4 linked regions of the Caenorhabditis elegans genome follow. The protein of the gene in region 4 purifies or fractionates together with the protein of the main gene of each other region. This does not show direct contact. Each region holds a gene or a part of one and is shown on either strand. Other genes may lie near its edges.

Evidence for each region.
Region 1: the proteins of D2023.4 (region 4) and bcat-1 fractionate together in Caenorhabditis elegans (co-fractionation; one large-scale study listed by BioGRID). This does not show direct contact.
Region 2: the proteins of D2023.4 (region 4) and usip-1 fractionate together in Caenorhabditis elegans (co-fractionation; one large-scale study listed by BioGRID). This does not show direct contact.
Region 3: the proteins of D2023.4 (region 4) and droe-4 fractionate together in Caenorhabditis elegans (co-fractionation; one large-scale study listed by BioGRID). This does not show direct contact.

Annotation. Positions count from the first base shown.
Region 1 is NC_003284.9:12,873,429-12,882,356, reverse strand, and holds bcat-1 (Branched-chain-amino-acid aminotransferase, cytosolic), read right to left. Parts: upstream 4,878-8,928; 5' UTR 4,864-4,877; coding exon 4,726-4,863; intron 4,680-4,725; coding exon 4,491-4,679; intron 4,268-4,490; exon of another isoform or gene 4,135-4,267; intron 3,872-4,134; coding exon 3,740-3,871; intron 3,519-3,739; coding exon 3,399-3,518; intron 3,347-3,398; coding exon 2,720-3,346; intron 2,654-2,719; coding exon 2,612-2,653; 3' UTR 2,029-2,611; downstream 1-2,028. Other genes in the region: gpc-1 (Guanine nucleotide-binding protein subunit gamma), read left to right, coding at 1-28, 662-767. UniProt on the Caenorhabditis elegans protein: Catalyzes the first reaction in the catabolism of the essential branched chain amino acids leucine, isoleucine, and valine.
Region 2 is NC_003283.11:12,181,001-12,190,099, reverse strand, and holds usip-1 (U6 snRNA-specific terminal uridylyltransferase), read left to right. Parts: upstream 1-5,905; 5' UTR 5,906-5,924; coding exon 5,925-6,074; intron 6,075-6,127; coding exon 6,128-6,253; intron 6,254-6,301; coding exon 6,302-6,577; intron 6,578-6,635; coding exon 6,636-6,722; intron 6,723-6,768; coding exon 6,769-6,951; intron 6,952-6,993; coding exon 6,994-7,158; intron 7,159-7,204; coding exon 7,205-7,452; intron 7,453-7,501; coding exon 7,502-7,649; intron 7,650-7,695; coding exon 7,696-7,953; intron 7,954-8,007; coding exon 8,008-8,355; 3' UTR 8,356-8,599; downstream 8,600-9,099. Other genes in the region: ZK863.8 (UPAR/Ly6 domain-containing protein), read left to right, coding at 2,705-2,827, 3,162-3,278, 3,378-3,509; srd-4 (G protein-coupled receptor), read right to left, coding at 3,855-4,208, 4,254-4,755, 4,964-5,151; elpc-3 (Elongator complex protein 3), read left to right, coding at 8,690-8,809, 8,854-9,099. UniProt on the Caenorhabditis elegans protein: Acts as a specific terminal uridylyltransferase for U6 snRNA. Responsible for the addition of UTP at the 3' end of U6 snRNA which stabilizes U6 snRNA. Does not have activity towards modified uridine containing 3'-monophosphorylation or 2'-O-methylation.
Region 3 is NC_003283.11:13,989,455-13,996,653, forward strand, and holds droe-4 (dietary restriction over expressed), read left to right. Parts: upstream 1-3,201; 5' UTR 3,202-3,307; coding exon 3,308-3,643; intron 3,644-3,709; coding exon 3,710-3,850; 3' UTR 3,851-4,022; downstream 4,023-7,199. Other genes in the region: ric-7 (CRAL-TRIO domain-containing protein), read right to left, coding at 208-402, 1,328-1,426, 5,650-5,805, 6,253-6,565.
Region 4 is NC_003283.11:11,822,228-11,829,426, reverse strand, and holds D2023.4 (Thialysine N-epsilon-acetyltransferase), read left to right. Parts: upstream 1-3,664; 5' UTR 3,665-3,707; coding exon 3,708-3,773; intron 3,774-3,822; coding exon 3,823-3,910; intron 3,911-3,951; coding exon 3,952-4,028; intron 4,029-4,076; coding exon 4,077-4,328; 3' UTR 4,329-4,394; downstream 4,395-7,199. Other genes in the region: D2023.6 (ABC1 atypical kinase-like domain-containing protein), read right to left, coding at 213-365, 476-757, 805-1,605, 1,654-1,803, 1,856-1,966, 2,018-2,059; Putative thiosulfate sulfurtransferase mpst-1, read left to right, coding at 2,365-2,546, 2,592-3,193, 3,240-3,442; pyc-1 (Pyruvate carboxylase 1), read left to right, coding at 7,075-7,176. UniProt on the Caenorhabditis elegans protein: Catalyzes the N-acetylation of the amino acid thialysine (S-(2-aminoethyl)-L-cysteine), a L-lysine analog with the 4-methylene group substituted with a sulfur. Substrate specificity: thialysine > O-(2-aminoethyl)-L-serine > S-(2-aminoethyl)-D,L-homocysteine.

The sequences.
Region 1 (8,928 bases), on a different chromosome or scaffold from region 4:
GAAAAAAAGTTTCCGAAGTTTCAAAGGAGTAAGTTATTTTTTATGAGCAAAGGTGATTTACATATGAGAATAGGTATCTATTTTTAGTATTGCTACTCCGAGACGTTATTTGGATAATTCTCATTATTAATGTAAAAATTGCACATTTCTTGTTGGTATTTTTTTTGTCTAAAAGTGTACTTTATATCCTAAAGAAAGTGTGATACGTAACATCGTAATATGGCATAATTTGCTCCAGTTCTTTCATCAAACTGTGGCCAGGTTCATTAACTGTGGCAAGCACTAAACTGTAGAAATAATGAATGTCGATATTTTATTGGTAGGCATTCTTTCAACGATTTTCTTTTTTTTTTTGGAAAATCAATAACTTACTCGAAAAATCTTCAAGGCAATCGAAAACAACGCATAACTAAAATTAGGTTACACAAAAGTATAGTTTTGAAATACTTCACAATTTTAGTGATATTTAGAGTACATAATGTCGTCACAACCATTTCGACAGAACCGACAGAACGACAAAATTGTTTCAGATGTTTGAATAATTTAAAAACGAATCGAATTTTTGTAACCATCGAAAATTACAAGAATATATATGACAATGTGGAATATCAAATAGCAAAAGTGAAATATTTACTTATATGCAATCAAACTATAATTTCAGACTGCTCGATTTTTGCGAGAAGAACAAGACCAACGACATGCTGGTCTCCGGGCCAACCGATCAGCACAATCCATTCCAAGAGAAGAAAAGCTGTTCAGTACTCTAAATTGATATCGCGCATTCAAATTTCATTATCTACCGGCATTTCAAGACACGTCCCGATTTTTCACAATTCACGTTACTGTCCATCATTTCTCTATTCATTATTGCTCTATTGTTTTAGCTACACGTTTTTGAACTCTCAGTCCACAAGAAAATCAACACGTTCACCAAATCTCAATTTCCGATCTCAAATCTAACTTGCAATCTTCTTGTTTTTGGAATTGTCTTCTGTAGCTATCTGCGCTGATCACTTCGATCTAGCCAATTGGGTTTTTTTAGCATTGGCTTCACAAAAGACTGTCATTCTGAAATTTTTCAGTAGAATCGCACTCTTTTGTGAAGTTAAAGCTTTTTCCCGCAAAAATATACTTCTTAATTATTTTTTTTTCTACTTTCCTATGCATCTATAAACAATAATTTAAAACATCAGACGTTATTATGAAAGGACTTGGAAATGAATTTTTGAATCATATAAAAAAGTAAAAAATCAAAATGTTATAAAAAATCAAAAAAATGAATAACCCATGATTTTTAGAAACGGCTATTTACACGAGACAAACGGTCAAGATTATTGTGAGAATGTTCATTATTTGGAAAAAACGTATAAAAATGTTTGTATGTGAAAAATGCAACCAAAAATTTCATTTTTTCATAATTTTAATTGACAGGAAAATCGAAGGTAGTCTTTTTTCATCCATACTGTTCAGAATTGCCAGGTCTGTTAGAAAACACTAGGCAGAGTAGACTAGTTTTTACGAATGTTTTTAAAATAGTTTGATAAATGAAATATAAAGACTCCTTTTGATTTTACCGTCATCAAAAATTTTGAAAAAAAAACAGCTTCTGGACAAATATTGCAAATATTAAAAATAATTATTTTTTAGAAACTCGTGCATGTGGCACTACGATTTTCTAACATTTTTTATGATTATGGAAAATGGAAAACAAAATCTCAGTTTTTGCCACTATTTTGGAATTCATCGATCAAAATAAATTCCATCGAATTTTATGGTCTTCTTTTATTCCAACTATTACAATTCAAACATTGTAGAATTTGAATACGCTACATTCTCAAAGATTGGCAAATTCTCACCAGTTGCCACTTTTTGAAATAAAAATTTTTTAAATCAAACACAAAGTCGCTAAATATCTAATATAATATTTTTTGTAAGTGAAAGTTAGTAGTTTTCAACAAAACATTGTTTGAAAACTGATATCGTTCTTTATAGTTGTCTCTAAAAAATTTAAAAAATAGAAAAAAGTATAAAGTTTTCAACTTTTATTAAAAGAAGGTGTTTTGAATCAACAAACATGAAATGCAATCGAATAGCCATTTGAACTAACAACGACTTTCTCATATACATAAAAAAAATTATTCTAGATGATCATATGAGTATTTGACATGGTGAAGTGTAGCAGGAAGCATGATTTATAAACCGGGACACGAGCGCTTTTTGAGGGGGTGGAAGGAAGTTGGGAGGGGGATTGAAGAGAAGAAATTAAAAAAATACCATTTGAAATCGAATCAATAAATGTGTCTATAAAACTAGTTGTAGTTTTAGTGAAGGGGAATAAGGAGGCGAATGATCTAATCAACGCCGAGCTGACTTGTATACGTATTCTGATATGAACTCAGAAAATCGTTAGCTTAGCTCTTCGGAAAAGCTCATATAAGAAATCCAACTTCATAAGTTGTTCCCAGTTGCGTAGAGGAAAAAAAAACAAATTGAGGGGGAAGAGAAAACTCCGAGATTGTTGAACAGAACCCATCGTTAGTATTAAAAATGCAGTATTGAAGGAAGGATATTGAAAAGGTTTTGATGCAGAAGTGGAGTATTATATTGTGTATTAAATGTCGCGCATCCATCCGTCTTTGATAATTCGGCCGTACTGAAATAAAAAATTATTAGTTGAAATTTATTTTCAATAGGAGATAGCTGTCTTAAACAAGCTTACCTGAATGTCATTAATTGTGTTGTAGAATTTTTGCATAACTCCAAATTTGCTGGACATGGTTGGGATGTGAAGCTCCTCGTACTCATCGGTAACCTTGTTGTGGTAGAGAATCTTTCCGACTGGTGAAACAACGCAAGCAGTTCCTGATCCGAACATCTCGTAGAGTCTCTTCTCTGACAAAGCTTTCTTGACTTCTTCCATGTTCAGTGTGCGTTCAGTGACCTTGTACTCTCCCCATTCTCTCCCAAGCTCAAGAAGTGAGTCTCTGGTGACTCCTGGAAGGATGAGTCCACGATGAAGTGGTGGCGTGATCAATTCCATGTCGCCTTCCTCGTTCTTCCAGAACAAGAAAATGTTCATTGTTCCGACCTCTGTAAGATCTTCGTTCTCTCCATAAAGCCACAAAACTTGTTGGCAGTTTTTGCTGGCGGCCTCCTTTCCGACCCAGATTGTTGGGGCGTAGTTGCATCCCATCTTGTATGCGCCAACTCCTCCTGGGAAAGCACGGATGAAACGAGAATCAGCGAGCAAGCTGACTGGCTGGAATCCTGTAGAGTAGTAGGCTCCGACTGGTCCAGTGATAACGAACATCTTAGCTTCGGTGGCACATCCCACTCCAAGTGTTGGCTGAAAACAGTTGGTTTTACAGAGGAATTGTTTTTTTTGTGAATCAATTTACATCTGTTCCGATAAGTGTTGGACGCAAATACAATGAGCATACATCTGAATTTGGCACCCATTCTTGATCCAAACGAAGTAATTCGGTAAGTACATTGATCATCTCCTCTGAGTCGAAATCCTGCAATTTTTTGTTCATCTGATGTTTTTTTTTCATTCAGTAGTTTTCATGCGCTCAAGACGCTCAAACTAATTACTTCCCTCTCACATGCTTTCAGGAAAAATTGCACAAAAAGATGACTATCACTTAATTAGCTTTTCTCTTTTCTGAGAGCTTCTCCCTAGTTTTTTTCTTGTTTTTTGATATTTTTTCGTATATTTTACAACGCTAAAGTCAATTACCGGAAGTGCAGCACGGAGAGCAGTTCTCTTCATACGAGCCATGTTCATTTCTGGACGGAACATGCGAATCTTGTTGTCAATACCACGGTAGGCCTTCATTCCTTCGAAAAGCTCACTGGCGTAATGAAGAACCTGGAAGCAAAGCAAATGGATTAAAATTGTTAATTAGTTCCTAGTTGTTTTTTGTGGTTGTTTGATGTAACAAAACACAAAATCGTCGGTGATCTTTAGCTTCAAGATTGATAATTTCCAACAAGTGTCATGCTGTCATGTCAATCTCATTTTTTGGCTTCTGGTCGCTGAGAAAAGCTCAGATTCAACTGATTTTTTTCTAGTTTCGAGTTTTGTCCCCTACAAAAGTTTCAAAAGTTTCACATTTCTTCGTCTTTCTATCCCATATCAGATTTCACTGATCACAGAGAAGAGGTCACAGAGGTGAAAAAGACAGGTGACGGTGATTACATCATCTTTGAAAATCTTCAAAAGTTATCGCCCGCACAACGGATAGAAATGTGTGGCAGACCGGCGGGTAACAAAAAAAATGCAAAGCGAACTGCCACGTGCCGTTTATTAAAATGATTGACATTATTTTATGACCTTTTCTTGAATTTTTAATTTTTTTGTTCATGCTAATGCTTATCATTCAATAACGCTTATCACTAAAAAATCACACTTCAGGAACTAGTGCAAATATTCAATATTACCGTTGACCACTTATGGCGCCATTTTAAATTGATGGACAGTAACTTACTTTTGCTCCGGGATGAATTTTGAGCTCTCCAATTGGCTCAATCTTTGGATGATGCCATCCTCTCTCGGCATCCCAATCGCATGTCATCATGTAATCAGCGTATGTGTGTCCGAATTTAAGCTTTGTTGGGTCCAATGGCTTGGTCTTCAGTTGTGTTGGACCGGCGAGTTGAATTTCAAGGTCTCTGTGCTAAAAGCATTAACAGTTTAATCAATATTCAGACTATAAAACTAACATAGAAAGTCTTCTTTCTATCGTATTCCTTGTGAATTTCCTCTCTTGGTACTGTCTCCAATCTGGCTGCGGAGGCCATAAGCCTTGATCCGACAAGGTTGAAGGTGCGTGGAGCAACTCGCGACAGGATTGCTGGCATTATTGTGTGTATTTCTGGAACAGAAAATATTATTAAAGTTGATTCAGCGACCGTGGGAAATGAGAAAAGTGGACGATTGATAGCATGGAAATGATAATGATACGGGTGTTAATAAGAAACAAGATTAGTAAAGAAGGCCCAGGCAGGAAGTTGAGGCTTCACGTGTGGAAAAGGGGACAGGACACAATGTCCAGCTGCTATGCCGATGGAGGCAGTACATTTGGACTGGCGAACTGGCGCCATATATCAATAGAGTGTGAAGAAGTAGGAGGAGTAGAAAAAGGGGGCTGTGTGGCGGTGGTTTGTAGGCGCAAGGGACGTTGCCTTAGTAGAAAACATCTATCGCTCTCTATGTTTCTCGGTGCTTCTCGTCTATCTGAGCGATGGACGCTACGAGTTCAACAAATATTGAAAGAGGAGCAGAGAAATGAAGAAGCGGGGTAGAAAGCAGCAAATGGGCCCCCGTGGTGGCGGGCGCACGTGGGGAGAGCAGCGCGAACAAATGATGAGATGTTGTGAGGAGTGTGGCCGATGGGAGGGTAACGGCGGGGCAGTGTTGAGGGGCGGGAAGGCGTCGGCGACCGACCGATCGACCGCGGCCTCCCGTCAGGACGAGACCCCGCCCATCTCTTCCTGATCGGAAGACGAAAGCTTTTGACCCGGAGAAAGGCAAAAACAATTGGCAAAAAAAAGATAGTTGGGCTCTAGTCGCTACACGTCATTGGATTCTAGAGTTTCAGACCCACCTACTGGCTTAGACAAGAAAGTGTTGCAGGAAAAGAAGACTTCGTGTTTAATACGTAAAGAGTGTTATGTCTAAAAGTTGAAGGCTTTTTCACTGTACATTCTACTTCATCATTTCAAACTTTTTGTTTTTGAGCCTCGAAAGTATTGTAGAAAGTTTACGCATTTTTCAAAATTTCCTGCCTGAAACGTATCTCTCATCTGTCTTTTGAAAAATTTATATGACTCGGTAAATGAGAAAACTGACCCCTTTTTCACAGAACAAAAAAGTCTGAACCCCTTTCCTCTGACAAAAAGCATCAGATAGAAAGTGGAAAGACAAAACGAGGCTCTTGAAAACCTTGAGGTTTGTTAAAGCTCAAACAAAACCTTTCCGTCATCACAGTTTTAGCAGACCTGTGCTCGTAAAAAAACTTAGATCAAACAAACTGTGGCCACGTGAGCCATTTTTTTCTATTTGGACAGTTGAAGCTCTCAGCTGCTAAATGGGCTGATGAAGAAAGTAGCGAAAACTACAAATCTCGTAACAATTATATTTTAGGCCTCTAACCAAATATCTAATGTTCTTACAAGAGATAAGATTTTGTGGTAGTTATTTTGTGCTACAGAATCTTATCAAATGCTCGAACTATCTGAATTGAGTAGAGATGATTTGGCAGTAATGGAGTTCGATGAGTTTTAAATAAAAATTGAATCTGGCTTTCGAAATTCCTTATCAATGTCCTATTTTGTGATTAATAAACATCAAAGTCGGTCACTTCCGAGTTCAAAACCACTTTTTCGTCCCGTAAGTTTGTATTTTTAGTACCCGCAGGAAATGACGAGTTTGAAGACAATATCACCACGAGGATGACTGCACAATTCGACCGCAACCACGAGCTCCGCGTGGTTGCTAGTCAATGGTTGATGATCACACGAGATGGCTAGACGAATAACAAAACGAAACAGAGACCGTGAGAATGTTGTCCTTTCAATGCTGGGTGGCAGTGTGATGTGATAGCAGTTAAATGTTTCAACACCGTAATTCAGAGCAATGGTCACAACCAAACATCTTGCGGGAAAAGAGATTACATCATGTATGGTAACATCCTTGCAAGTAGAAGAGGCGAGAATTGGGGAGAGTGATAAATTTCACATGAAAAAAAAAACAGTTTTTCTTGTAGAAAAAGGTGAGAGATATGAAATTGTTCTGGTAGAAAAAAGGCAATTGTTGAAAAGTTTTTATATCAGTACTTTTGATCATAAGTTAAATACAACTTACACAATCTATCAAAATCTAAAAGTCTAATTTATTGAATTATTGGTTGTTCTTTGCTGTGGAATACTGTTAGAGACAACACAGAAAATTTATATTAAAAAAGCTTTATCTTCCAAAACCAACTTTTTCCCAATGTCAATCTTTGATAATAAAAGTCACTTGGAACACGGAAATATGTTATCGCTTCAACGAAAAGCGAAGGAGGAGAAGATGTTATCATTGGTTAGAGGCGAAAAAATCGTATAGTTGGAGCGACTCAATCGAATGACCAGCACTGGTCACTCGGGGTTGCAGTGATCGAGCCAACTCTTTTGCCTTTTGATGAAGTGTGTAACTGAGAGAGAAGGATAGATCAAGATGAGATCATTAAAAATGATATGGTTAGAAAAAAAACTTGGCAAAGGGGGGAAAAGAAGATTTAATATCACCTAACTTAGAAAATGGAAAGTGAATGTAGACGTCTCTCAGCTCACTTTCACTTCTTTTCCCTCACTTTTTAGAGCCTTTTTACAGTTCGCCCAACTACCAACCGATATAAGGAAAAAAGACACGATGGCAATTCGACCAATGGCAAGACGAGTGATGAATCTTCTAAATTATATGAGGACTAGTCAAGTACTTAGGTTCCCATCTAGACAATTGTCCACTATCACTGACATCAGCTGGGCGAGAACCACATAGCGGCAATCAAAACAAAATGATGTGATGATCGGAGTTTTTTGAGAAAATCGGAACAAGATTGGTCTGCGCCACTGGATAAGAATAATCAAAGATTAATTACTAAGAGTACTGTATGATCCAAAAAAAAAATGATTTCGAAATAAAAGTTTAATTTAACTTAGAGAGGTCAGGTCAAAGGGTAGTGATGTGACGTATTGTAGAAGTAATAAAAAAAGTGCTAAGTGTTTTATAGCACATTAATGGTAGAACATTAAGTATTTCTTTGAAAATCAGCTCAAAATTCAACAATCTTAAAAAGATAAAGCAGTAGAGACAACCGATTACGAATAACTACTATAAAGTATTAAAAACATGGTTTTATCATCCCGATGGCCTGATATTCGCCTAGATTTTGGAAATTCATGACATTGAGAATTACTACACCGGTTCACAAAACTTTTCGCAGCAGTAACCAATTAAAAAATATTGAAAAGATAGAATAACCTGAAAAAAAACAGATCAAAAATTTACAATATATAAAGAAAATAAACGGGTGCGCAAATTTAGTTCTTGGCGAACCGCGCGGAAATGACAAAATACGACGATGACTAAGACAGTCACGTGGTCTTTCTTTTGTCAAGATAAGAATATTCATAATACACATACACTGCGGCAAAATTCAGTGTCTATGTGGGCAATATAAACGTCATCATCAAAATAACAATTGATCTGTACAGCAGAGGCTGGGTGCAGTGTGCACCCCATCCGAGCACACTACACATGTTTATGAACCAATGCATGGAGATATTGTTCGCGCACTCGGGTGGTCTTATTAACAACAATAACACAAACATCTCCACCTATTGTCAGTGTGTGTCTTGTGAATGTCTTTCGTAGTCTGTAGGCGATACGATAAGACGCAAAAGTTGAAAGCTGGTGAAAGATGACGAAAAAACTTTTAAAGATAGATCACATGATCTTGAAGAGTTGACGAGCAACAGGTGAAAAAAGAATGTGCTTCGGTTTCCGCTTTCTCCCTTCGTGGAATGTGTGTTTCAAAAGAAAGGCAATAAAAAATGAGTTGGAGGGAAAGAAGATAGGTTTTGAGAGTTTTGAAAGTTTGATCTTCACTTGTCAACTTCTCATACTCAATATTAACTTCAGCTGTTTAAAAAAAAAGAACTTTCTCTCTTTTGTTAAGAGGAACAACAAAAAAGCTAGTGTTTGCTCTTAAAGCGAAAATAGGAATAAAAAGAAGACAATCAGGGATTTTAACAAATATTCACTTCCTTTGCTGAATTATTCTTAAAAGTGGAGAGCAGTCAGTGAGAAAATGATTTAAACCTATTCCTATAAGGCTTATATCATAATAAAAAATTTGTATGTTTCGAGTCAAAAAGTCA
Region 2 (9,099 bases), 360 kb from region 4:
ATATCTTGTTCGTTGGTAATTGGAGTTTTCTGGATTTGTATCATTTACTTGACTATTTGACAAAACAACTACAACTGAATCATATTTTCTCTAAAAATATTCGGTCAATTTCTTTAATTTTCAGAATCCGAACGGTGCACAATCAATATAAAAATTCTGGTGTTCATTGTAAATTTAACCTCTTTTTTAGAGATGAATTATACATAACCCACTTTACTTTTACTTTACCCGAAAGCTTACAACACAATTTTTGAAAGCAGAATACACCAAACATCTTCTCATTTTTTCGTTTAGTAGAAAAGTTAAAGTATCGAATTACTAACGGATAGGAACTTTTCAACTTTTCCCTCATCCTCATCTCACTTTTTTTTGAAAATTTTTACGTTTTAATATTGAACCGTTAAAACTGTCTAATTACTCTCCTTTTGGTCATTTGCTTGATAAAGTTTCGCTTGAGAAAGGCAGTTTCGTTTAGAAGTTTATTCAAAAAATCAAACTGACACTTACCAAAATTTGATCAAACTGTCGATACCTTACATTTAAAATTGTTCGGTATATGTCTTAAAAAAACAACATAAACTGGAACGAATCTCTTTGTGAAAAAGCAACAGACATTAGTTAAGCATTTTCATATTAATTACAGAGATGTAACTTTTGATCATTGCAGTTTAAAAAATTGAACTCTATATTTTCTGAAAAAAAAATGTAAAAAAATAATGAAGATTTTTACCGATATTCACCGCTGAAAATTTTGGAAACCATTTCCCATTGTCAGTTTTTACAGTTCAATTTTATCATTGTACAATGTTTCAGCAATTTCAAGCTAGAGTCTATATACTTGCTAAAGTCTATACATTAATGAAAGATCAAAATTTGCGCGCCACTTGTCTTTTTGACAATGTATTTTTAATCAGGTTTTGTCCAAATGTCTATTTAACAGAACAAACTTGTGTTCTTACTTTTTCATTTTCTTCAAGAATATCAGCAAACAAAAAATTGTTGCTCAACGCGTGAGCACGCGCGAATCCAAATTTCATGTGCTCTTTTTCTCTCGTTTTTCTTCAGTTACTTTCATATTAAAACAGTTTTATTGACAACCTGACAAAGTCGATGGTAAATGTTTGGGAGCACCATCGCAGATAAATCAAATTCAATATATATCGGCGGCTGATTTTGTTTGTTCTCTCGTGATAGCACTGATCTATTTTTGTGGCTTAGGGGAAAAGATAGAAAACCTTCTAATGTGATTAGGAATACATGTACAATTGGTATCTGGAAAACATTTTACTTGGTCTACAAATAATTGAACAAATAAATAAAATCTACAAAATTTGATCACAAAAATAGTAGACTGTTGTCTGAACTTTTCTCCGAATTGTTTGTTTTTTACTCGTGAAAAAAACAAAAAAAAAGATCCAGAAAAATGACGAAATTTGAAATAAACAATTTGAAGAGCAGTAGTTTTTCCAATGCCAAGTCTCTTTTCAATTTCATATCCAAGCATGACACGGTTTTTCATTGGGATTGGCAAACAAAAAAATGTGCCAAAAAAGTAAATGTTGATATGAACTTACAATGATCTTTTCTTGACCTTCTAAATTTTTCATCCATTACGTGGCATTTGATTGATTGTAAATACAACTGTAATCTTGTGAAAAACAACTCATTGAAACTATTGAATGCAAACTCAAAATAGTTTTGTCATCATTTTTTGCAGGTTTTAAGATTTTATTCAAGACATTTGAAAGTTTTAAAAAAGTTGTTGTGTGAATTTTTAATTCCAGTTTTCAAAAATTTAAACAATTTTGACATATTCGCTTCAGACGAGATTTCAAACCTTGACTTCTCAGTCTTTATCAATATTACTTCCAATATCAGAAATTCTTTACTGGTGTTTTCGATAAAAACGCATCGTACATATACAATGTTGCATCTGATCTAATTGGATGTAAGTGAGATTCCAGTCTCTGATTAAAATGAAGTTGATATAATTTGAGTCAGAATAAGCTTTTGATTTAGCAAATAACAAAACTAAAGAAGTGTGCCAACTCTATTTTTAGATAGCTCAATGCCAAGTTATAAATGAAAAGTTGCTGCCAACGAGGTCATTACTACTTTTATCTACGTAACTTGCAACAAATAGTTATTTGGCAAGTTTGTTTTTGAATTTTTAAAAATCCGCAAATATGATCAAGAAGCTAAATATTTATTACAAAAACACTTCTAACAGATCTACAACGTTCACTAAACAATTGTTTCGCAACTTTTTAGACTCTTTGCTTGTCTCAAAGTTCTTGCCCAAATGCCTTGTTTACTCATCATCCATCTTTTTGTATATTTCGTTTTTTCTTGATACTTCCCTTTAAAGTTCTTGAAAGTCCGATGAAAAATGCCAAAATGACCCGGTACACTTGACAACCAATGAGTAATACGCAAATAATTGAGAAGATCAACATTATTCGCCTTGTTCTCTACTTTTCACACCTTTTGGCAGATTGCGGAGATTCTCTAAATATTTCGCTCTTTTTCTATTTTCTTTTCCTCCTCTACCTTTGCTTCTCTACCTACAAGTTTACAATTTACAGGCTGCGCAAACAAACAAACGAAAAGAGGTGGAGAAGTCAACGACCTACCCAATAATCCCACCCCTCTGAATCTTTTATTTTACTTTTACATTACAGTCAGTTCGTTGTCGATTATAACCATGACCTCGTCGTTTGCTATTTTCACAATTTCTGCTCTTTTCTGCATTTTCCCATATGCCGATACACTTCGGTGCCATGATTACACAAGCACCAATTTGATGAAGAATCCAATGAAGACATGGGTAAGATTTTAAACGAGATAAGCAATGAGTTAATAGTCAAATTATCCATATTGCTGGAAGTAGTTGAAAAAACACGAATTTACTTATGATAGCCCATTAGTAAGAACATTTTTCATTATTTGAACGCCACTAGCTTCAAACTTTATCCGGTTTTAAAGATGAAAAAAAGTTATTAATCTAAATTATCACTGTATAAACTCGCTAGAGCTCAAGGTGATATGCAGGCACGGACGCCTGCTGACATACCTGCGTGCCAAAAGTGGACATCTTGGCTTGAAAATAAAAATGAAACTTCCAGCTCATCAAAACAAATAATTCATGCCAATATTTATAGGTCGACTGCCCAGCTGACGCTCAATATTGTTACAAAAGCTATTTGGAATCCAGAGATTTTAACAATGACAAAACTTTCGTCTCAGGAAGAGCCTGTGGATCCTCTAACCTTTGCATTGTAAGTTTTTATTTTTACCTGTGGAATTCATCTCTTGGCTCAGAGAAATTCTAATTTTGAGAAAGAAAACCATATTTATCAAATTACTAATTATTTCAGCAAAATGGATGCGTTGGAACTAACACCGATAAGGCCTGCTGTTGCCGTGGAGATCTTTGCAATTCATCATCACTCGTTAAACTTACTGTCTCTATTATGACATTGTTTGCCGTTTATTTCTTCAAAAATTAAATTTCTTTCATTTTTGGTCTTTGAATTTTAAAATACTCTTTCCTCAATTTTCAACTTGTGCTCAGGTGCTCATCTGGCTCTCTATTACTGTATCCATAATCTAAAACCAATGACCCAATTTCTTCTCATTCCGCTCATTTCTTCCCGGAGAACGAACATCAAACAGTAATAATCAAAATCGAATTCATGTGTCAAGTGTCCTTATAATTGTTTAAATCAAATGTAAATAATAAGTTCATCCAATAAAATTTTTATAAAATAGAAAACATGATCATCACTGAGATCAAATGAGTCGTTTTCACAAGGTGGATGAAAAATACTTTTTAAAAAGTTTAATTGGAATATTCAGTCAAATGTGCCTTTCTCCAATGTAATTGTGAATTTTGATGTAACTGATGCAACTGATGAATTATCAAAACTACCAAACATTGAAGAATTTGTATCACCAGGTGCAACAGAACATTCTCGTGACATGAAAATCAAAATTTTAGGATCAATTCCAACTGCTCTCATGACAGATTCTCGATACGGTTTGATAAAAGTAACGGTAATCAATGGATTGATAACGGGAACCAAAACGGCAAAAAGAAGTGTGAAACTTTCAAGAACTGGAGATTCAACGATCCTCAGCTGACCAAGTAGGAAACAAATTGATGAGAATATAAAAGCAATTGGAACAATAGTCTGAACTGTCAGTGCCTGCAATAAATCATATTTCAAAATAATTTACATTTTCAGACTAACCCAAGTCAGCTGTCTATGTTTTTCTCGAATTTCCGGACGGAGAATTGCATTTCGTAACTTGAAGTGTATTTTTCGGCGGAGCCCATACATAATCAAATATCCAGGGATAATTGGAATAAGCATTAGAAGATATGAAAACAAACACGGAAATTCTCGAAGATCAGCATGTCCATTTATAACAAAATCTTGTAATTTATATTGAGAATGATGAATTTGAATAAGTTGTCGAACATCTTCTGGCTTGTTGTTATCAATGAATACGAAAATTGCTTGCAAGTATGATGGGAAGTATATAATGCAAATTAAAATGATAAGCTGTTTAGCTTTTGGATATCTTTCCAGAAGAACATAACATCGGAATATAAAACAGAGAATTAGAAGATGAAAAGAATATGAATGAAAATGAAGTTGAAGACTGAAACCCAGAAAACAAGACCATTCACTGAGATATTTGCAAAGTCCAGTTGAAGCAATTCCAAGTGTTGTACCACTTGGGATTAATCTGAAATTAATTATATATAGCTCAACTCGCCATTGGAGTATAAAGAAAAAATTTGGGTTCTTTTTTGAAAGTGTAATCTCATGAATTATATATAAGCGTGGAAAACATGAAAACGGCCCTGCTTAATTTTGACATTATTGGAAGAAACTAGAGCATATCGAGAACATGGTGCATTGCTAGGAAATGCAAAATAAAATTTGGAAATTACCTTGATTGACTGAAAATATCAAAAAAACAAGCAAGTGCATCAGATCCACCTCTGACAGTCAATAATATAGAAAATGTTCCAATAGATTTAGGGCTTCTGAATAAAGTTAGAAAAATCAAAATCGTATTGAAAACAATTCCGAGAAAAGCGAGCACATAGTGTAGAATAAATATAACCAAAAGGAACATCTTTGTACATTTTTGATATTTTTACATTTATATACTAAATTCGATTTCCGATTTATGTTATGCTTGTCCTTTTATTCGAATCCCAGCAATCAGAATCGAATTTCCGTTTATTTTTTCGTTTGTAGACGAACTCAATTCCAAATAAAAAATATTATTAATTCAAATTCAATCTTTGAAAGACCGATGTTTATGGAATGATGTTTATAATTTTTAAGCAGGCATAAGTTTTGGTTGATTAGAAGGATTCTGATCAATCAATGCAAATAATTTCTAAGACAATTTTATAAAATTTATTTAATAATTTTTTTTAAAAACAACTTTTTCCCTTTAGAAAGGCAATGCAGAGAAAACTTACTAGACAAATACATACTAGTACTAGGTCCACAACTAAAATTTGTCAATAAAAATTTATTTGAAAATCCGCCACTTACGACACTCCGATATAACGATGCGCGTGTAGTTTATCAACTCAGTTTTTCAGTCATTTTTCGAAAAACTTTTTTATTGCGCGAATCTATTTAAAATTTGTTACTCTTTTTTTATTATTATTCTGATAAACGCAAAATTTAAATCCCTGAATGCGCACGTTCCAATTAATTTGTAACCTATAACAAAATGCAATGTGTTGTTTATTATAATGAAAATTGTTTTGCTCGAATTTTCGACGAAGATTCCCTAGTGTATTCGATTCCATGGCAACGCATGATTCCATTCTCCATCCTCTTTGTTTACCTAAAATTATATATTTTTCCAGATATTTCAGTTATGCGATAATGTCTTCAAACTTGCAACTGGTTGAAACGTTTGATAGTCGTCAATTCGTTGTTGCTCGTTGGAATCGAAATGATACGACAGCTATGGTTCCTTCTGCAATTGCTGTCGTTGTCTTCGTGGAGTCGGTTGAGTATAAACTTGGTTGTAAGGTAAAAAATATTGTTATGCTGTGAAAACAAGCATTTGAAATTAAACCGTTTAGGAGAAAATAGGATACTCTCCAACACCTGAAGATCAAGATCAGTTTATGATATTGCAAATGGAATCAATAGATGAAGCCAACAGGATTTGCCACGATTCCATCGCTAAAGGATTTGCAATCAACAATGTAAATAATTATTTTTAGCTGATTGTATACAATTCCTTTTATTTTCAGACGAAAATCGTGTTCACTCCCCTTCTAGGCTTGAACGGATTCAGACTTCAAGATGCCATTGATTTCATGAAAACTTCGCAACCGCACTTCAATAACGACGAGCTTTTGGAAGTGTTGACAATGGCTATCTGTCAAGAACTTCCTGAACGCTTAAAAATTCTCGAAGATGGATTTTCCTTCATTGAACAAGGGGTTTCTGAGCTCATTCAAAATTCTGCTTGTGAGATGTTCGGCTCTTTTGCATCACCGGTGCGGCGAAATGGTTACTCAGACATTGTAAGTTGTTAGAAAAATAATTTTATTTTATTTTATTAAGAAACAATAATGTTTTTAGGACATTAACGTGGAATCAGTCAGCGCTCCAGGTCAACGCGTTTCTACAAATGTAAGACCATTGAACGAAGTTGTGGCAAATCCAAAGGTACAAAAATTACTGTAAATTGTCCTGAAACAATATACAATTACAGTGTCTCATCACTCATCCACTAACCAAATCGGAGCTTGAGACATACCCACAAGAGGAAATTATCAAAATTCTCTACCGGTGCTTCAACGAGAACAGTGCATTCAAAACTAAATTCGAGATGCGTTTCTTACCTGCACGCACTCCAATCATAGTCTTCAAAAATATCGAAGTGGAAGGAATGAATGTATGTTGACGCTTTCAAACATTGATAATTCATTCATTTCAGGTGTCATACGATCTATCAGTTCACAATCAAATCAGTGTTGAGAAGGCGAGCTTGTTGCATGAATTCATCGTAAAAGACAAGTCGAAGGGAAGTAGAATGAAAAATGCAATGATGTTCATCGTACACTGGGCAAAATCAAATAAGTTGCTATCGGGTGACTATCCGGTAATTATATATTGAATTAGGCAGTTCTTAAACTTCATTATTTTAGGAAGAGAAGCTTGAAGTCAAGACAAAGCTGAACTCTTACATCATCAATCAGCTCGTTATTCATTTTGTTCAAGCAGCAACCAACAAGGTTCATGTGAATCCTCAAGCAAAGCGAGATTCTCGAGTCAATGAATACAACTTTGACACTCTGTTCGGCGATTATTGCAAGTTTTTCCGAGAGCTTTTCAAATACTATGCCAACTTTGATTTTACGAACAAAGCGATTTACGGGAAGAAAGCGATGCAAAAGTAAGTTAAAAACTAATTTCTCACAACTAATTTGTATATTTTTTTTTAGAAAAACACTCTCAAGTGCGCACGGAGGCGTTGAAGAATCTCCGTTGATGTTGATGGATCCCATGGATATTACTCATAATATTTCGGCAAAAGTAACAGAAGACGCGGTCAAACTACTAAATGGTCTTATTCGGAACGCTCTTTTCATTGTAAGCATTATTTTGATTGTTTATGGATTAAAAGTTATATTTTCAGTTGAAACAAAATCATTTTCACATCAACTATCTTCTGGAAACCAACACGATGGCTACTATGCTTATGAAGAGCAGAGAGCCAAAAATCAGTATATCAACTAGAGTAACTGATGGAGCCGAGCACCAGTACTTGTCAGTACAACTTCCAGCCGTGGTGATAACCTCGAGTGATCTTTTCCTCCTTCTTACTAGAGTTCTTCGCTTTAATGTCTGTCCGAATGAGCAAGGACCCAGTGTTGTTGATTTATGTACTCCAACGGTTAGTTCTATAGAATAGAAAGAATGTGACGTTTACAACTACTATTAATTTCAGGGTGCCATTTTCCTTGTAACTTCAAGAGCTTGGGTTGGACGTCGCAATACGAAACGCGCTTTGAAAAACTCTCGTCACGATTTGACGCCTCTCCAGATTGATGTTATGTGCAGTGACAAGTACGATTACGAAGAAGATATTGCGGAGTTGCGTATCTCGATGAGCACTGTTCCTGGCACCAGAATTAGGTTGGCATGCATCGATATAATGCGTGGTCAAGTTTCCGAAGTTCGCGACGCAATCCACTTTTTGATTGATCAATTCATTAACAATAACTACGATGACCTCGAGAAGAATGGCGTTCAAACCATTTCCAGGATTCCAATTGCAGCCCCAACTTGGCCATAATCATGTTCTCAATGTATAAGTGTTCTATGAATTCGATTTGTATGTATGATCCACCATATATTTTATTTCATATTTATTCCGGTATTTTTCTGACACGTCACCCAGTGACCATTTTCCATTGAATCTCAACAAATAATTTTTCCGCTTTATTATATTCAACACCCAACTTTCATGATCACTTCTCGGTCTGTGTTCTATTTATGTATATCGAAATTTCTAAGTTTGAAATACACTGGTCATCTTGAAAGCGATTTTTGAGTTCATTGTCGGTTAATATTCCAATTTATATCTAAAACATCAATTTGAATAGGAAATGTATCAAAACTGTATTCAGATGGATCAGAAGGGTTCACAAAGAGCACTACTGGCACAAACAATAAATGAAATTGTCAAGCTTCTTATTGAAGCTCACAATCAAAAAAAGGATGTCAACTTGAATCGGCTGAAATGCATCGTATGTGGTTAGGCGGTAAAACACATTTCAATAAATATTTTCAGGTTGCTCAAAAGAATGGACTGAGTTTTCAACCGAAACTCGTTGACATTATCGCTGGAGTTCCGTCCGATTACAAAGACAGCCTTCTTCCAAAACTCAAGGCAAAACCAGTTCGAACTGCTTCTGGAATTGCTGTTGTAGCAGTGATGAGCAAACCACATCGTTGTCCTCACATCAATTTCACTGGAAACATTTGTGTCTATTGTCCCGGTGGGCCAGATTCTGATTTCGAGTATTCAACACAAAGT
Region 3 (7,199 bases), 2.2 Mb from region 4:
AATTTTGAGTCTTGGGAAGTAACACGAAATTTACTTGTCCCATACGGTAACATACGGTAACTTTCTTATTTCAACAGAGGCAAACTTGCAAATTAATCTAAAATATTATCAAGCTCTCAAAATCCTCTAAATTCGTCGGCGAACATCGGCTTAACCGCTCAAATTAGTCTGCGCGCATTTCAAATATTCCAAATTCCATATCTATACCTTTGGAGGTAAATCGTCATCTCCTCGGTCAACGAGAATCTTGAAAATGTCTGCAGGACTGTCCACATTGAACCAATCTTCACAGAAAAGTCCAGCAAGTCGTTCGTCATACGCTCTCTTCGCTTCGAGAACCATCAACACTTGGTAGGCTTTATGGTGATCTTCTTCAAGTCCGGATAACGAATCAGTTGATGCCTGAAACATTTGGAAAATGAATGGAATTATGGTGTCGATGTATGATTTGAAAGTAATCGTAAGATTGGTCAGATCATTGCAGATTTTATAAAGTTGCGTTTGCGTAGGCATAGTCCTTCAGCATCTAACATCACTGAACATCAATTTGAACTATGGCTTGTTTTCGTAGAAATTCATTCTTTTTCTAGGAATAATTAAACTATTGTTCTAAAAAAGAAAAAGTGAACTACCGGAAACAAAGAAGCCATGCTGAGCGTAGAAAATCGTCGGAAATCACGACATTAAAAAAGTTCAGTGCCAGCGACCTTTATTTCAGATTTTGAAAATTAAATCGACGAAAATCAATTTTTCCCCAACATTTTAGAAAACAATGTATACAAGAAAAAAAACAATGCATGCAAACAATGCAAACAATGTGTTTGTTTTATAAGAATTTTTTTGGCAGATTTGAGTGGAAATCAAAAATCTGAAAAGCCCGGTTTTGGGGAAATTCTACCCAAAATCTGAGAAAAATGAACTGAAAAACTTTCAGATTGAAATTTTATGGAAATTTTTTTAGCATGTTTAGTATGTTTCAATGGTATTTTTATCTATACTTCTACTTATTCATTTTTTAAATGTAATTTAACTAAACTATTCTATCAAAAGTTTATTAAAATGCCACCGGACATTAAATTAAACCAAATTTTTATAATTGAATTTCATGAAATTTGATAACTTTAGCATTTCCGGTAACCGGGATACATGACATTTCAAACTAAAAACTCAAAGAAAAAGTTGTCGTTCTTTGAAACAAGTCACACTTATAGTTTGTAGAAGAATCACACGAAAGACCAAATTTTCTAGTAAATTTTTTGTAAACGTGGGAAAATTGTAGTGATGTTGAGTAATGTAGTGTGGTCGAAGCATTTCTGTTGAAACTCACCAAATCATGCAACTTTTTCAGATCTTTTCGCATTGAAGACGGACTGTAGCCTGGCCATTTATTCATAAAATCGCATTCTTGGACTGCATTGTCGAATCGCTGGAAAATAAACATATATTAGTTTTAATCTCCAAAAAAAATAATTTCTGGACTCGGAGATTTTGTTTAGAAAGTAATCTACCAAATCGCGCGGGTTTATAAAATTTGCCTCCCATAAGAATAAGTCTACTTTAAGCCAGTTTTTGCGTGGTTTTTGTTTTGTTGTTCTCCTCTCATACATCGGATTTTACTGTAATCCTATAAAGTGATTCAATTTCCTATTCTCATATCGTAGACATGTTGATTTGAAAGGAAACTGTCTCGTTTGACGTATTATAATAATCATTATTATTATTCACAGGCATTATTCTTCCTTTTTCCAGCTAGTCGACAGTTTCTGAAACTGTGGACACTTGGGGTTTTGAGCTCAAAAATCACAAGACAGAATATTAAATACTTCCACTTTTTTCACAGGTCAGATCTATCTGCAACAAAATGTAGTCAGAATGATACCAGATATAGGGTCATTTGACAAGGGTCCTTCTTCCTTTATTGACGTCAATAATGAAATCAGAACAAGAAATTGGGTGAAAAGTGCAAAGGGCACAAGATGTACTTTTGCCATTTTTTTAAATTTCTTTTTGAGCATCTTCGTGACCATTCAATCATTTTCAGAAGCGTTCTTCACACGCAAATGTGCCACTTCCACACCTCTCAAAAATTTGAAATTTTCACGCTGAAAATTGGATTCCTCATTTTGTGTGGTTCCTGGACACTTTAAGATTCACTAGGATTAAATTGAGATTAACAGTGACGCCCGGGAGCTCGGACTTTTCGGTTTTTTTCGGATGGGAATGCCGACTAGAAAAGTTACATTCGTTGAAGTGAGACATATTTAAAAGTACAAAACGATTTGTTGATCTTCTATACTTTATCAAATGTCTCTTTAAAGCTACTGGCAAACATTCAAATGATCACCTCATAAGGCGTGGTAGATCAATCACTAAACGTGCAGATTGTCTTTAAAAAAATTTTAACTCCAAAATTTGGTCGTTCAAATAATGAGTCAACGTTGTGGCTCACAAAACAGAAGAGTTCAGAAATATTTTTGGTGCTGGTAGCGATGCGGATAACTAATTAGTAGAGGCTAACTGAAATCATTCACGTCAAGAGGCAAAAGAACACCGAATCGCTGAGTCAAAAAGAGTTCTGATCAACAGTAGGGAAGATCGCACTGTGTAGAATGATCTCAAATGGCGCCCTGTTTGGTACGGTGAAATATAGGGCTGTACAACCGGACGTCCGGTCGTCCGAACCGGACGCACATGCGTCCGGTTGGGGGTAGCTATCCACGACGGCCGACAATTTCCGAGTTTCGCCACTCACTATAAAACTGCTGATTAAGTATAGTGAGTGGCGAAACTCGGAAATTGTCGGCCGCCGTGGAAACCTACCCCAAAACCGGACGCAGTGCGTCCGGTGGTGTCAAAATCGGACGACCGGACGCCGATTTGTACAGCCCTAGTGAAATAAGTACACGTCAAAAACCCCAATTAGTGAATAAAGGGATATCCGTGTTATTTTTTTCCGATCTCCTCATTCTGAAAACCTTACTATCTATATGACATAACTTGGCATTCTTCCCTTGATCCTTATGTACTTTTAACTTAATCAAAACATGAGCTGACCATTTATCTTAACATTATCACCCGTATCTGTCACATGTTTCTAAAAAACACCTCCTGATCTTCAGCTTTTCTTTTCCACCTCCTTTTTCCTATTTTCCAGCTCTGTTCAAAGCCCGCCTTTCGTTACTAAAAAACTGACTCCGCCCATTTCAGCTTCATCATATAAACAGAGTTGGCAGTAGGGCTAATCACTACTTCGAGTCACTCGGACATCTGCCGATCTCTTTTTTTCGATCTCACTGAAACGGTCGACATGTTGAACACTCCAACTGTTATTCTCATCTCTTCACTCGTCCTGGCCTCGGGTTACAGTGTTCGTTCAACTGCTAAGAACACCGTTCAAGATGCTCACGATCAACTCACAAAGAGCATTCGGTGCTGGGAGCCGATTGATGTCAACAATCCATCAAAAGGATACACGATGAGCGAGCCGATCTACGAGTTGTGTAGCTACATGCCAGACCCAAAGGACTACAACAAGTACTACGTCAATGGAGTTCAAATGGATTCCGATGATTACACCAACATCTTGGCCATGTACGGAAATCCAATCCCAGGACACGCTGTGATCAACGTTTGTCTACAAGAGGTAGGTTCAATATTATCAGGCTTAATATAATTGGAGGAATCGGTTTCTTATATAAAATCACTTCAGGCATTCCAATTCCACGCTGCAAACCATCCATCTCAGGTCAGCCTACGTTGTTTGTGCAAAAGAGACGGTTGCAATCTACCAAAAGGATTTACAACCTTCCTCGATTTCAATAAGCTCCCGATGCCAGAAGTCTTCTACTAATTCCTGAATCCTTTCGTCCAATAATATGCTATTCGTCGGGATGTCGCCAGTCTTCTTTTCCTATAATCCCCATTTTTGAATAATTCCTGATTTTCTTCTTCCTTGAACCCGTGATAATGACCATTTCTGATAATTGAACAAACGAACTGAATAAAGATGAGAAACGTTGCAGTATTCTGAGTTGTTCCATAATCCCAGAATCTTCAAATGATCGATTGCTTACGAATATTTGAAAGAAAAAGTGAACAAAGACTATGGTATACATACTCTCCCAACTATAAGTTAGCCGACTATTTTCAGATATCATGAAGAGGCTCCTTCGACGTAGGTAAATCTTCTGATTATACCCATTCATCTTGATTGTATAAATGCCGGATTAACTGACATCCATTATTGCTTTCCATTCTTAATCCGATTAGATTATTCCATTTGTAGATCCACCAAAAAATGAAATATATGTGTGACGTATAGAGACCAAAGAAGCTATTCATTATTCTAGATCATTCCAACTGTCTAACTTTGGTTTTCAAACTTTTAAACAGTAAATAAATGAGCCCTGAAGAGTTGATCGCCGTGCGCGTCCAACATCACCCATACAACTCATAAAGTATTCTTCGTGTGAGGTCTTGTTTACGTCACGGGCTCTTCTTGCCAAAAAGCGAAAAGCTAAAAACGAAGAACATACAACGCAACATAGGTTATTCTGCAAAATTAATGAGATCTTGCTGATGAGAGTAATCGAACACAAATTCTTCGATGCATCTGAATGATCAATCTGGCAATGAGCAATGGATACACATAAATTATTTCCCCTGCAAAACTAGTGGCATTCAATTTGCATTTTAATGATAATATGGGAATGAGCACGAATCCTCGCTTATTCCATTTATAACATTCAGGTTAACCGGTCTAGTGATTCTGAACTTTAGCAGACGAGTTAATGATAACCAAGACGTCGAAATCATCAGAGCTGACATTATTGACTTTTCAGCAGAATTCAATACGTCAGACACATCTTCTAATTGGGACGAAGCTTCTAGATATTGTGCAATGATGCTTCTCATCTGAAACCTTGTCTGGCGGAGCCAACTTGCACTTTTCAAGATATTATTCAAGAAGCACGTCAAAGGTGTGGTGGGTGGTGAAACGCAAGAAAAAACTAAAAATATCCTAAATGTTCTATAATCTTTTATTATTGTTTGGGTATTTGATACCAGATCGTGATATTCCAATCATCCAAATGGGATAAGAAGCTATTCTAGATTTTCTGTCATTTCTTGAGCTGAAAACAGCTTTCTTCAATAATCGCGGGGTTTCTTGGCATCGGAGGATTCAAATGTAAAAATCTGCGAACTTAAAGGTTTTCAAACAAACTTCAAAGAGCATGAAAAATCACATAAAGTGGTTAGATTCTCTAGAACAAAATATTACAGTAGTACTCTATGAATGATTCACTGAAAATTTCGAAAAACAAATGTATTCTCATTTTTAGAAAAAAAAACAATTCGTACCGAAGTCAAATCGTGACGACTTTAATCCGCTTTTTATTTTCTTTTTTGTTCGACAACTGGCTTCAATAACGACAATAACGCACGTAATTAATTGAGAAATCCGGTGGATGTGTCATTGGAAGAAAAATTGAATTTTCAAAAAACGATGGGGACCCATTTTTAATCAAAAGAGCATGGGTGCTTTGTTCATTTTATCTTGTTATTCTTGAAATTTCATTCCATTTTTTAAGCACACGGGGGTACTTTCAAATGCGGAAATTTTTTTGGCATTTTTGTGAAATTGCTCACCTTTTCAATAATCGACCACGTGGCGTCGCGAAGAAGTGAACATTTGTGATAAAGAGCCGATCGCATGAATAGAGAAACACATGATTCATTTGATTCGGTGACACTCGGAACGGCGACTCGTTTCAGACGACGCTTATGATAGATGGTTTGGAGGTCCTGTAATAACTTTGAAATGGTGTAATTTTTTTTTTTTTTGAAAAAACTTGAAGGATTTTCAAATTCTCAACAATTTTGATGATGTATTGTGAATGTTTTTTTTAATCGATTAAAGCACATTCACATTTTCACCATTTAAAATTAATTAGAATTCCATTTTGCACAAAGTTGGAGAAAGTAACCAGACGAGCAAAAAAACCTTTTCGAGGTAAAATGGACTTACAAAATAGATATTGGTTTTTAAAAAAAATCAAATCCGTAATTTTTAAGAGGGCTATTTTTGTGTGTAAAAAACTATTTAAAAAAGTATTCATTTTTTTGCATTTTTGGCCATTGTCTTTAATTGTGTCAAAAAAAATTTGTTTTAATTCAATAAAACATTACTTTACATTTTTAGACATCACATGAATAACCCCATACTTAAGAAGTTTTTCTGAAAGTTCTCACCCTAAATGGTGGTGAATATGGCTGAAAAATTTCACAAGCCATCACCATCAAATCTCTCGACATTTTCGGAGCAAACTTTGGCTCAATTTCCCGCGTTACAGATGAAGAAGCAATTGACAGGGCTCGTTGAACGGCAACTTCTGATTCAAGATCCCAATCAAGGTTTGCTCGTCGAAGTCTTTGTGGTGATGATCCTTCTTCATCGAATCCAATACGACTCGGTCCGTTACGATCAATATCATCACACCATTCCAGTGAAGCACACGACGGAGCTACAATTGACATGTTATCGGATTCCTGGAGAACGTATAATCTGAAAAAATGTCAATTTTAATGATCAGCTTTGAAATTTTCGGATGTTTCTAATAGTGCACAGTTTGAAACTTGAAAAATTTGTCATTTTCACATTTTCAGATTATAAAAATTTTATTCTGAAACCTTTATATGCGTGATTTTTAAGATTTTTCATGTTATAATAATTATTATTTTTCAAGTGACGAATTCTCCTGATTCACTGAAATAGACAATAGTGGGATTTCCAAAAAAAACTTTCGGTGCTTCATTCCAACTTTTGAGCTCTTTCTGCAAAAATGTCATCTTCCTGTTATTTTCTGGAACGGAAAACATGACGCAGTTATTACTTTTTTTTCTGCAAAAAAAGAAGAGAATGAATCAGCATAATCATAATCCAATTCGGGATGGGGATCTACTTTTCTATTCATTCGCCTTGTTCAAAACAGGAAAAAAGTTCTAATCTAGTATATGACGTGGTTTTTATCATAATAACACCAAGAGCATCATTTTTTGGGGTACAAAAATTAGTTTTATAAATTTTTTAAAATTAAATTTGGTGCCGATGGCACCACATTGTTTTTTAATTTTAAACTTATAAGAATTTTTGAAAATTGCAAAAACCTCAGTTTTTGCAAGAAAAATGTTCTGCTTAT
Region 4 (7,199 bases):
CGAAAGCCATATGTTCTTTCACATTCCTAATGTACTGCATGAATAATATCTGTGAACAGTTTAAAAAAAGGTTTATTTAATAAAAAGGCACTGTTTTTTATTTCATGACCCGGGGAGAGGTGAGCAAAAATGGAAATGCAATAAATCCTACACTAATTAAATCACAGACTACAATCGAGGTGGTAAAAATCAAGAATCAAAAAACTATAGAACTAGTGATAGTTGATAAAACGAAGGTAATATTGATAGATACAAAGCTTCATAAGCGACCAATACATGTGGAATCCAATTTTGAATTTTCCGAGTAGACTATCTGAACGGCGAATGGCAAGATCGTGCGAACTTCGGATGACGCATCGGGACATCTGAAATACATATTTTTAGAGTCTCGATAAAAACGGCAGAAAGACCAATAGTCTAATACGTAGATCTTTTTGAGAATAACAGCAAAGACTCCAGAAAGTTTTAAACTTACTTCAATATGTCCATCACTTGATCCAAAAACTCCTAATTTATGCTCGATGTTTCTCATCAAATCATTCGTTTTTAAAATAAGAAGCATTTCTCGTGGCATTCGTGCTAGTACTTCACTGATTTGAGGTATCAACGACGAAGCATACATACGAAGCTCATCTTTTTCACTTTCATTCATTTTCGACTTTCCAATTCCACCTGTGACCGACTTCCAAGAACGTCGAGTGACCATGCATGCAAATAGACCGTAGAGTTCCCCAACTCCCATTTGACTTGCAACTTTCTGAAAATATTAGCTTTCACTTAATTATATATTTTAAAATAACTAACGCGGATCTCTTGGAGATCAGGCTTCAGAATTGCCAGCCAAAGATCGGAATACAGTTTACGAATGTGATCACTGATATTCAAGTACAAACCATGATCCAATAGCACAATTTCATATTTTCCATTTCCTAGGCTGTTGATCAGTACATTTCCAGGGTGCGGATCCGAGTGCAAATATCCTTGTAGAAAGATCATTTCAGAAATAGTTTTTCCTATTTTCATACAAACATCATGTGGATCAATATTATTCTTTTTTAGGTATTCCACATCATCAACATGTGCTCCTTCACAAAATTCCATGGTGAGTACTCTCGTTGTAGTCAAATCGTATTTAATCTTTGGAATTCGTAGAAATTTCAGGTGCTTGAAACGTTGAGCTGCTTCATCGGCATTTTTCGCTTCGTGCAGAAAATCAAGTTCATTTGGAAGATTCTTCTTTATTTCGTCCACTAGCCACATAAGACGGAATTCCGGAAAGACTGCATCGGCAACTTTTACTAAGAATTCCATAGTGTTAACATCGGTCCTGCTATTCTTGTAAACTCGTTTATGCTGAACTTTAACTGCAACCGTCTCCCCAGATTCTTTTAGCTTTGCTTTATGAACTTGTGCCAGGCTTGCCGCTCCAACTGGTTTTTCGGAAAATTCCGAAAATAGGTCGCCGACTTTTGCGTTTAATTCTGACTCCACGACGTAAATGACATCCTCCTTGGATGCTTGTGGAGCTTGCGAGGTGAGAATGCTTAATGTTTGAGTGTACTCTGGTGGTATCAAATATTCCATTCCCGAAATGTGTTGTCCAACCTATATTTTCATTTATTTCAATAGAAATTTGAAGTATAATTCAGCTACCTTGATGAAAACACCTCCGTTGACACAGGCCAACTCCAAAAGATGCTCCGCACTTCGCTGGTGACATTTTTTGATTGCATCATCGTATTCAGAAGATGGCTCTGGAAGTCCACGCAATGAAGTTTTGTAGTCAATTACAATTTTCCCTACCTGAAAATTCAGATCGAAATTTTTTGTAAACAGTTTAGTTTAAACAACTTACGGTTGAAGCAGCTCTCCCAAATCTCAGCAGTCCTAATTGTCTTAAGTCTTCAACGGAATCTACCGTGTACGCTGTATAGCCTGCTCCAGCTCCAGTTCCCACAAATAAGACCTTGAAAACGTTTTTAATTAATACGATGCTTTGAAAACTTAAACAACTTACTTTTGTGAGTGGCTTAAACGCCAGTATTTTTCTAATAATCATGACACCGGGCTGAAAATAACTGAAAATGATGGAAATTCATCTCAAAAAATATCGACGCAAGTGCGCTCCATTGATTGCAGAGAGAGTATGTGTATTCTGGAGGTCAGAGACATTTTTGAAAACAGTTTTTATTTTGCAAAACAGTTTTGAAATCAAAGTTCTTGCTGTTTTCAGAATGTTCTTCTTTGCCTTTTTTTCATTTTTAAGTAATTTTTTTCTCAGTAAAAATATAAATCTCTTTAAACGGTTTATGTTCAGTGTCTTTTCGTAAAATATTTTAAAAATTATTAACAATTACAGTAATTATGAGTCTCAAAAAAATAATCGATGTAAAATCAGTTAACACTCTTCTGAAAAAAGGAATTATCAATAAAGAAGGAGTGCGGATCATTGATTGCTCATTTGCTGTGGCGCCGCGTCCAGATTGGAAAGAATTCGAACAAGAGGGTTATGGCGATTTCAAGAATCTCATGGCTGAGCCCAGCCCGTATGTTTATTCAAATTTTAATTTAAAAAAAAACAAAATTTGAAGGTCCCGGAACTTGTACCTGGCTGGACACATTCCGGAAGCTGTGCATGTGGACCTGGACATTGCCACATATCCATCTCGTTATCAAAGATTCCAACAATACCGCGCGGATCTTTTCGAAGAATATGCTCAAATGGTTGGATTGAACAATAAAGAACATTTCATCTTTTACGGAAAAGGAGCATTTGGTGGAATGCTTTTTGCTTCAAAGGTTGCTTGGATTTTCAAATCCTATGGCCATGAAAACATTTCTCTTGTCGATGGAGGATTTGATTCATGGAAAAGAAATGGATTTGAAGTATCTACAGAACTCGTAAAATTGCCTGCAGGAAACTTTAAAGCTGAAGATAATTTCAAAAAATATGTCATCACATTCCAAGAACTCGAAGCTAAAAAAGACGGCGAAGATAAACAGTTTATCGAAAAAACATCAGAAATTAACTTTCTGGACAGCAGAATTCGTGGTCAATTCGATGGAACTCAAGAGACCGGTCTTGATCCACATCTTGTAAACGGCACTAGAATCGCTGGTTTCAAAAATCTACCTAGTGCAGAGCTTCTTGTGAAAGGCGGAAATTTGAAAAGTGAAGAAGAAATCAAGTCATGTAAAAGATAATGAGTTTTCCGATAATCTCAACTTTTCTAATTTAGGGCTCACTCAAAACGGATATGTTGAAAATCAACCGACAATCACATCCTGTAATGCTGGAATTCAAGCAGCACTTTTGGCGTACGTAATCGATGCTGTGAAGCCATCACAGAATCCTCCCCGCGTATATAATGGATCCTTAAAAGAGATGGAGCTTCGAGCACCGAAGAAAATTTCGGAGGGACCACAGCATTTGCCTCATTAATGTTTAGTTTTGTAGGATTTTTCTTTTATTCAATTTTCATAGATAGATATTGTTGTTATTTTGTTTCTTACTTCATAAAATTTTGGAATAATTTTATTCATTTTTCCTTTTAAATGGTTACTTGACTACCATTCAGACTATTTAGTTGAAAAATCTCGAACATCAGAAACCACTGATATCGAAAAATGATTTTTCATCTTCATTGTGTGATAAGAATTTCAGTTCATAACTTTTGAAAATTGTTCTTCACTTTTATCGTTAAAGTATGAAAAACTTCGAAATTGTCACCGTTACCCCGGATCATGCCGAACAACTCATTTCAATGATTCATGTAGGTTTATTTCTTCTTCTTTATTTGAAAAGAAAATAAACATTTGCAGGAGCTCGCGGAGTTTGAAAAAATGAAGAGCAGCGTGGTGAATACTGCCGAGAAATTGAGAAAAGATATTGAAAACAAGGCAGTGCATGGTACGATTTTGATTTTTAATTGATCATAAATCGAAATTTAGGATTCATTGCATTTATCGGAGAGGAGCCAGCTGGAATGAACCTTTTTTACTATGCATATTCAACATGGGTTGGGCAGGTATTTATGAAACAGTACTGAAATTCAACCAAAAAATCATCATTTCAGTATCTTCACATGGAAGATCTCTACATTCGACCTCAGTTCCGACGAATGGGACTAGCAAGAACTCTGTGGAAGAAGCTGGCTGAGTTGGCTCGAGACAAAGGAATTGTTCGTCTCGAATGGGCAGTTCTCGATTGGAACAAAAATGCGATTGCTCTGTACGACACTGTTGATTATGTAAATTTGACAAAGAGCGAAGGATGGTTCACTTTTCGAATGGACGGTGCGGCGATAAATAAATTTGCTGATGAATAGATATGTTACTTTTATTGGTATAGAACTTTTGAAATGTTCTGCAATTTAAATAAAGTTATTTATTATAGATTTTTTGAATTTTTAAATTTTTATTTTTACCGGATATTCTCAACCCGTGTGAATTATTTCAACCTCCCAATATTATCGATATTATCTTCTAATTTCCCTAAAATTAAAATTGTGTGAGTCGCCCACATTTTTTGGCAATTTACAGATTGACCTTTTCTCCTTTTCTGTATGACACTTCCTATCGCGTACTAGAGATTTCTGTGCTTTTGATCTTATCGATTTTGATCGGATTACCAGTTCAAAATTGTTTTACCACACTGATTACTTCTGGTTTTTTGATCCTTCATAGCAAAGTTTCAGCACGATCTATATTTGTTTCTTCTCATTTTGACACTCAGAACTTTCTGGGTTTAATTGATAAGCGAGAGGAACAGTACCCAAATTTTAAGAAAATCTATGCCACCTATGTTAGAGTTATCTATTATAAATTTAAACAAGTTGCCATATCCAGAAAATTATCATAATATCCTTTTATGGAATCTTCTGAAAATTTAAATTATTTAATGTTCTAATAATTTAATATAAAACAAAATTTAAAAAGATCAGTATCGAACACAATTTTACAAACTTAATTGTGATGAAAATTTACTTTTTATCAACTACTTTTATATCGTATCTATAAAGTTTTCATAAATTAACATTTGTTCTATGTACCCTTTGATCTTTTCACTTTTGACCTCTAATCTCAATGAGACATCAATTATTCAAAATGTGCACGTATTTTCTTTACCCCTCCTCTCTTTTCATACAGCAGTTCTGAGTACGTTCATGGTGCATCGTTTTCTAAACTCAACAGTCGTGTTTCTTTCTCACAAGTCTTTTTTCCTCTACGTTTACGAGTCTCTTATGCCAACCTCGTGATCGCCAGTGATTGCCGAAAGTGCGAAGAACGATCAAAATTTGAAACTTATCGAAGCTGGTTCTGTGATGTTTTGATTAGTACGAAATAAGTCATGTCATGATAGATCGAAAATTCATAGATTCTGAGATTTTCGATTTTCAGCGATAATCTAGCTATCAGATAAAATTTATGTAAACAATTTTCACATAGTCTTTCAGTTTCCAACCCTGAATTTCTAATTTTATCATTGAAATTCTTTCGTTAAATGGAATCCAAATCTTGTTTATTGGCCAGTTTAATTTTATTAAATGTGTTTCATTGATCATTAAATATCATTATGTTGATCTTTAAAGTGAACTTAATTAAATCATTTTTATTTTCAGCCCTTTACGAAAATTAACTATCCCACTACGACCAAAAACAGTTTTGAACATTTTGACATTTTGAAAAATCGAAGGTTCTGAAGTTTAAATCATTTATCCTCCTCCTCTGCGTCTCAGTTTTTGTGTTCTAGTGTCCACCCGAGTCGACTGATAAGACAAAATGACACAAACACCGTCTCTCGGCTATCAGTTTGTTGTCGCCGCAAATTCATAGCCATGGTCAAAGTGTTGATCTAGTTCTCTTTGAATCTAGATTTTTTTCAAATTTTTAACTTGATTGTGATACTCTAAGACATTTTATATCTTTAAATCCGCAAAATTAAAAAAAATTATTATAGTGCGTCCATAGTCTGCGGAAAACGGGAATTTCCCGCGTGCGGAAGCGTCCATAGTCTGCGGAAAAACCGGAGTTCCTCGCTTTTTTTTTCCTCAAAATTCAAAAAGTAGGCGTGGCCAACCAATCAGCTGTTGTTTCTTGTTTTCCCATTGCTCAGCTTAAAATTTTACAGCCTCTAATTGGTTGAACACGCCCACTATTTTGAAATTGACCAATAACAAAGCGAGAAACTCCTTGTTTTTTTCCGCAGACTATGGACGCTTCCGCACGCGGGAATTCCCCGTTTTCCGCAGACTATGGACGCACCATTAACACTAATCCCCGAGATATCAAAAAAAAAAACTAACGATAGAACAGCAAAAAATATTGGAATATTTGGCCGTGCGGAATAGATATTTAATATGGCATGCTCATAAACCATTCTAAAAACTAATTTTCTAATTTTACAAAAATCCAAAACTGAATGTTGAACGTTCTGTGGCTTCTGTAGTTTCTGTAGTTTCTGATAACTTCCTTCTTTGTTTACTTTTATTTTTTTCAATTTTCCTTATTTTCTCTAGGTTCTTCGTCTGGTCTTGGGTATGCCACGTGGTTCTTCTTTCACATCTCATTTCACCGAAAAAACCTAGAAAATCGAAAAACAAAATATTTTATTTTCTTCCCTTCTCCTATCATTCTATCAATGTTATCAGTACTGTTGTTATTCTTCTCTACAAATATCACTAGGTGGTTCTATGGAGAATGAACAATGATTTTTAAATCAATTAATGTATCTTCATACATACACTCACTCTCATGTGGTGTGACCTCTTGGTCTTTTCAAAATCTCTATTGCTCTGCGTACGTGACCTTTCACATTTTTCACCGTTCTAATTTATCACGTGGTCAACGTGGATACTTCTAAAAATCTCAAATAATGTCCGAATTCCGAAGAAGTTTACCACACTTCGATTCGTTCTTGAGCTTTCTGCTCTCACACAGTAGAAGGTACACCAAAGTAATGTTTCTGTGTCTCTTCGATGTTCACACTATCATTATTGAATAATCTTCATTGGTTGTATTCACCGAATAGGTTCACCGTCTCAAAACTATGCATGTTTCAGATAAACGACAACGATGCGGTTCTCCCGCATCCCACCGATCTTCGCTAATGTCGTCCGACAGACACATTATCGTAACTATGCCAATGGAGTTATCAAACCAAGAGAATTCAACAAGGTATTTCATTTCTTTTTCGTGCT